Canis lupus familiaris: one gene and its partner. The protein of the gene in region 2 binds, or shares a complex with, the protein of the main gene of each other region. Links are inferred from orthologs where the notes say so. Each region holds a gene or a part of one and is shown on either strand. Other genes may lie near its edges.

Region 1 (4,191 bases), on a different chromosome or scaffold from region 2:
GTCACTGGCACAGGACAGATAACATAAATAAGAAAAGCAGACTCAGGTCAGGAGGGGACCCTGGAGCTTTGAAAAGTCTATGCCTGACCTAGAGTGGGCGGCCACTCCATGGCTTCAGCCAGTTGTCACCGCACAGAAATGTGGACACCGTTTTGCCAGTCAAGGCCCGGATGCAGATTTCTGTGCGAACAGAAATCTTTTGTAAAAATGTTGGCAAGGAACACAAATCGTTTAGAAATATAGGAGCTGGCATATCGGGGAGGGTAAGGCATCATCCAACTGAAATAGGATTTCATGATGGAGGGAAAATAGGGAAAGGTGGAAGGTTAGGGGCAGCTGCTGGAGGACCTCAGACTGTCACACTCCAGGAGCTTATCACTGGTCTTCCAGGTCTCAGTAATCACCAAAAGGATGGGAAGATAAGACCGGCATTCTTTCAAGATGCTTTGGCAGTTGGATGGGGGCAGGGCTGAGGGTTAGGGTGATGAGTTAGAAGTCTATCATTCAGCTAAGGAGGGGCAAAGCAGATGACAAAGGCCTGTTTGACTTTGTTCTTTCTCCCACCGGACTGTAAACCCCCAAGACGGCAGGGCCGGGCTGTCTCGTGCTCGCTGCGTCTCCAGCACTAAGCACAAGGCCTGCTCCATAAATACTTGTTGAGAGAATGAATGAGAGGGAGGGAGAGGAGGTGAGGGGCACTCTGGAGGACTGAGTTTAAATGGGGTGTGTGTGCGCGCGCGGTAGAGGCCGGTTCCCTTTCCTGAAGCTTCCCCTGGGAGCCTTGGGAAGGGCGCGCCTCCACGAAGGGATCAGGGGCACCGGCTTCAATGAACACAAAAGACTCGGCCGGTCGAGGCCTGCAGATGCCTGGCGCTTCACGCGGCCTCTCCTGTCCACAAAAGGAGAACACGACGAGCGCCTTCCAAGGGCTGATGGGACGGTTAAGCGAAGGTTGAAGGCTGAACCATTTCTGTCCTTCCCCAGGTCCGCATTCCCGGAGCGCTCAGCCACAGGGGACTGACCTCCGCCTGCGACCCGGCGGCGATTCCTTTTGGAGGAGGGAGGGAGGCGATGACCCCGGCGTCGGCTCGGGTTCCCCCGCCGGGTTCCCAGCACCCCCGCACCCCGCACCCCAGCTCCGCCCTCTCGTCTCCCACTGCCTCTTTCCGCCCGCCGCCTCCATTTCCGCCCCCGTCCGCCCGCTCCCTCCTCGCTCCAGTCCGCCGCGTCCGGGTCTCCGCGCCCCTTCCTCCTCCCTCCGTCAGCGCCCCTCTCGGGCGGCCGGGGCAACCCCGTGCCCGGCTCGTCCAATGGGGAGCCGGCGCAGGGGCGGGGCGGAGCGCGGGTCGGAGCGGAAGTGGTGACCGGAGCGGAAGTGGAGCTGCCGCCACCGCCGCCGCCGATTCCGGAGCCGGGGTAGCTGCTGCCGCCGCCGCCGCCGCCGCCGCCGCCTGTGCAGCCGCCGCCGCCGCCGCTGCCTGAGGAGTGGGCTTGGGAAGGAAGCCGTCCCCGCGCTCGGAGCTTCGCTCGCAAGCGTCTTTGCCTCCTGCCGCCCTCCCGCGGTGAGTGCGGCGCGGGGTCCGCCCGGGGCCCCTGGGGGCCCAAGCCGAAGCTCCCCCCGGGGCGGCGCCCGCCGCAGCGACGCGGGCGACCCCGCGGGTGGGCCCTGGGAGGGGGCGGCGCGCCGCTTCCTCGGCCCCGCGCGGCCGCCTGCGGCGCGGGCCCGGCCTGGCCGCGGCCCCTCCCTGTTTCCGGGGCCGGGCCCTTGGCTCTGGGAAAGGCCCGGGCGGCCCTCGCCGCCTGCGGCCCTGCCCTGCGGGCGGGGTGCGGCTCAGTGCGAGGCCGGAAGGGACCTCGAGCCGCGGACCCCCGGCCCTCCCTCTCCCCACCTGCCTTCGATGCCCGCGCGACCCCTCCCTGCTCCTTGGGCGGCGAAAGCCGACCCTTTAAGCCCTGTCACCTCCGCTCCTTGCTTTCTGGTTTCCAGAAATTGAAAATTGACTAAATATGGGCTGGTTTTCGAGCTCCAGGGCCTCTGTTGACTACCCCCTGGCTGGGCAAGGGGTTTAACCTTGGGAGAGAGCAGAGGGAAAACCCCCCTCCCACTTTGCAGTAAAGCCATTTCATCATCGTTCGCTGGTTTGGAAATCTAGCAGGACCTGAGATCCCCTGAGAAGCACACAGGGTTGAGGTCTGCATCAAGAAAATGCATTTGTTAGAACCGCTTACTGAGTCAGGTCTGATCCCCAGGGGGGGAAAAATAATAATAATAATAATCAGAAGCTGAAAATCGGAGTGTTTTCCCACGGTATTTACCGTCATTTAATGCCAAAGTCTTTTGTGTCCTCACCCCAAATTCCCCCATACTGTGTGTTAGCACGTTTTTTTTTTTTTGTTTTTGTTTTTTAAGGATTGAAATTTGCCTGGTGGCCTCCCTGGTGGTAGGGAAGGGGTAGGATTGGTTTGGGCCCCTTTTCTTCAGAGGATTGAGTACATCTTTGTCTATTGCAAATGGAGAACTGCATGTAATGGGGTTTTCAAAGGTGGCAGTATTGGTAAGACAATTTGCCAACCTTTCTATAAAAACGCATGGCTCTTGTCCTTGCCTTCACTCCTTTTCTCTTTGGTAAGACTAGACAGCATCAGGCTCTGATTTTACCTACTCTCTGTGGGTGATGGAATTTGGCGAGAGGATGTTACGAACATACAAAATCAGGCGGCCACAGGATCCAGAAAGATGAAGCACTTTCAAAAAATATGAAAATTGTCTGCATTTCTCACTGTGTCATAGTTGTTCATATAAAGCCACACACACAGGCAGTTTATAGAACTGGACACATGGCTACTCAGCTTTTTGCATTTTCTCTTTGGAAATGTATATGCATAAATAATGCTTGATTCCTAGTGATTTTCTTCTCGACTGCCTTATCACACCCCATTTCTCAGGAATATCTCAGTTGTCTGAGCCCTCATTTTTCTTGGGTCTGTTTCCTTAGCAGCAGGCAAGATGGTGAGGGTAAAACCTGTCAGTTTTTATTAGACCCTACAGAATTTTGGGTGTGGTCTTCCAAATGGAAGAGTAGTAATCCAGTAGCAACTGCTGAATGATTTTCCTAACCTCGTTTTTCACTGAGATAAGAAACCATTCACCCATATTACAGATGAAGTCTTTATGAGAAATAAGGTAATTTGGCCTAGACCACACACCTAATTTTTAGATTGAATATCCTCATTCATCAGGAGCAAATATTTCTGGACTGTAAGCCCCTGGAGTATGGCTCCTACCCTATAATCTTCTGTACATTTCCCATCATGCAGTGCTTGTGTTATGTTGAAGCCATTTTAGAATTGGAGCTCTATAGATCAGGGAGGCAGCCTCCATAAAACCAGGCTGAGCAAATTCCCATGATGCTTGTTCCGGGTGGCAGAGTCTCCAGAGATTTGAGCTACTGCGAAAAGTGCCTTTTGCCCATTTGGCTGTGGATACAGAGACAGAGCACTGGACCTGGAGTCAGATAAATTTGATTCAGGTCTAGCCTGCAGCGTTTTCTAGCTGTGGGGTCTTCAGCATATTACTTAATCTCTGGTTCTTAGTTTCTCTGTCTCAGAGTTGTCTTGAAGCTTTTTTACAAACTATAATATAAACTGTTAAGTATAAGCTGTTTTTTTTTTTTAATCAGAATTCACTATTAATGGCTTTCTTTTTTCCTCCAGCTGCATTCTGATGAGACCCATCCCTGCTTTGTATACATTTTGCTTTCAAAAATTGATGTTCTTATAGAACTTTATTTTGTGTACAGCATCTTCTGGGTTTCTAAGCCTGTACAATGCAAATGGTAATAGTCTTTGTTGTGTTGTTATGACAAGCGCAATGATTAAAATAAGCATTTGGGATACAGTAGGTGTTTAGTAAATGTTATTTGACCATATCCAAGAATACACATATACAGAGACTGGATATAGCATATATCTATATGCTGTATAGCATAGACACATAGAATCCATCCATTTGATTTATTCGCCAGCTGATGAGGTAGCATCAGGGCAATTAGTCAATAATAATAACAGTTACCACATTGCCTGCTCTGTGCCACACTTTGTTCTAAGCTCTTTATGCATATTAATGAAGTCTTCATAAGAACCAATGATAGGTAAGTACTGTTAGCCCCATTTTACAGATGAGGAAACTGA
Region 2 (2,165 bases):
CTACTGGACAGGCCGGCCGTGGCACCTGAGCTGCCCTGTCCCCGGCGCCTCTGGCAGGCAGCATTTTGACCCCCGAACACCATGCTCCTCAGCGCGGCTTTCCTTGAAATCGCGCCGGCGACACGGCGACAGGCATCCGAATGAACATCTAACTCCTGGAGGCCACGCGGCCACTGGGCTCCCGAAGCGCCGCGGGGGCGGGTGGCGCTGGGCGGGCTCCCCGTGGTCAGGCCCTGATGGCCCCCCCTTTGCCCCTCAGGTGTCCAAGCCCGGAGCGGAGGAGCCCCACCCCTGGGGCCTGGAGCTGCAGGCCTCGCTCGCCCCGCACTTCAACCTGCAGGGCCTGTGCGGCCCGGTGCCCGAGGGCGCGCTGCCCGACGTGCCCTGGAGAGGCCCGGTGGTGCTGGCGGCCGAGGTGCCCGAGCTCACGGTGACGCAATGGCTGGAGGAGGCGGGCAGGCGGCAGCGGCCCGAGGAGTTCCCCTGGGTGGTGGCCGTGCTGCTGCTGCAGCTGACGTCAGCCCTGGAGCACCTGGAGGCGCGGGGCGCCGCCCTGGCCGAGCTGCGGCCTGAGAACCTGCTGCTGGTGGCGCCCCGAGGCTGTGCGGCCGCCGGGCCCCCGCGCCTGCTGCTGGCCGACTTTGGCCGCGTCCGCCCTCGGCCCCCGGGCCCCCCGGGCGCCCACGCGCTGCAGCTGGGCCGCCTGCTCCGCGCCCTACTCGGCCCCGCGGAGCCCTGCGCCTCCCCCTTGGCTGCGGGCCTGGAGGCTCTGGCGGCGCGGCTGGGCCGCTCCCGGCCCTCGGCCGCCCAGGCGCGGGGTGCGCTGCAGGCGCTGCTCTGGGGGCCCGGGCCCGAGCTGCACCGCCAGGGAGCCCCGCTGGGGCCGTGGCTGCAGGTGCGCCGCGCGCTGCTCGTGCTGCACCTGGCGGAGCGGGCCTCGGCCGGGGAGGCGCCGGGCCTGGAGGACTGGCTGTGCTGTGAGTACCTGGCTGAGGCCACCGAGGCCTCTGTGGGCCGCGCCCTGGCGCTGCTGTGGGACTGACACCCCGACGGACAGGCCCTCCCCAAGCGAGCGGACAGCCTCTTCCAGACGGGGCCGGCATGAGGGCACCTCCTCTCCAGCGCCCCCACTCCCGCTTCTACACCGGGGACTTAGGCCCAAGGCCTCCCCAGGAGAGCGGGCCCGGCGTGTCCCGAGGCTTTCCGATGCCAGGACCTTCCAGCAGGCGTGAGGCTGCGCTGGCCGCGCTGGACTCCCGTGTGCACCGTCCTCCCGAGAAGGTGGACGCGGCCTCCGTGTCTGGCCCCGGAGCACCCCTTGTGCTGCAGGTGCCGGTCATTCTGAGCGCATCCTTGTCAGGACCTGCTTGGGGTCCCGGGGGTAGGGGACGCTCCTAGGACCTGAGACGCCCGAGCGTGGCCTCGCTTCCCCGCGCTCCACCCTCCGCGGCCTCCTCGCTGCCCTTCTGTGAAGCTTGGTTCTGTGCAGCCGCCAGGCCTTCGCGTGGCTCTTCTGTCCAAGCAAATAAACTTGCCGCTCCTGGGCCCCGTGGCTCCGCCTCCTGTCGCCCGCCCCCGCCCCCAGCACCTGTCAGCACCTGGGGGGCCGCCACCTGACCACCTCCCCTCCAGGCTGTGGGTTCCCGAGGGCGGAAGCCAGGGGGGTGTCGACGCGCACACGGGATGGCGGCATAAACCGGCAAGGACGACGCACGGGGGAACCAGAGGGACAGAACAGGGCCTCGTTTACACCGCGGAGGAACACACGAGCCCTGGGGGGTGCCACTGCGCCTGCCTGGGGCCTCCAGTCACGGCCCTCACTTCCCCGCCCCCGTCAGGTTAGCCCGCAGGTATGACAGGTTCCTGGGCTGCTCAAACATCCCCCCTGGCTCCTTAGTACCCAGGATACAGTGGGCTCCTCCCCAGGCTCCCCAAGCCCCGGCCAACCCCGCCGGCCACACTGCCCACCCTCGGAGCCTCCTGACCTGCGGAGGAGCACCCTCCCCTCTCCTCGTGGGCTTCACACTCCTAGTCATCCTTCAATACCCCAACTCCAAAGCCCTTTGTCCAGCCTTGACTCCCCCCCAGGCTGGGGGGTTGTGCAGCTCTGCGTCTTCGGACTTTGAAGGCTGGCCCCGTCCTCAGGCAACATCCCGCCCCAGCAC

The links. Proteins that work in one complex are often made in the same cells at the same time.
Region 1: the proteins of PEAK3 (region 2) and YWHAB are in contact, whole or in part, in a cryo-EM structure (PDB 8DP5), measured with the Homo sapiens proteins. The link is inferred for Canis lupus familiaris from reciprocal best matches to the Homo sapiens genes PEAK3 and YWHAB. Residues at the interface, in NP_940934.1 of Homo sapiens: Arg66, Thr67, Gln68, Ser69, Leu70, Pro71, Thr72, Arg73; in NP_003395.1 of Homo sapiens: Val48, Lys51, Asn52, Arg58, Lys122, Arg129, Tyr130, Gly171, Leu174, Asn175, Val178, Glu182, Ile219, Leu222, Asn226, Leu229, Trp230.

Annotation. Positions count from the first base shown.
Region 1 is NC_049245.1:32,932,505-32,936,695, forward strand, and holds the start of YWHAB (14-3-3 protein beta/alpha), read left to right. Parts: upstream 1-1,370; 5' UTR 1,371-1,562; intron 1,563-4,191. UniProt on the Homo sapiens protein: Adapter protein implicated in the regulation of a large spectrum of both general and specialized signaling pathways. Binds to a large number of partners, usually by recognition of a phosphoserine or phosphothreonine motif.
Region 2 is NC_049241.1:57,237,292-57,239,456, forward strand, and holds the end of PEAK3 (protein PEAK3), read left to right. Parts: intron 1-259; coding exon 260-1,042; 3' UTR 1,043-1,546; downstream 1,547-2,165.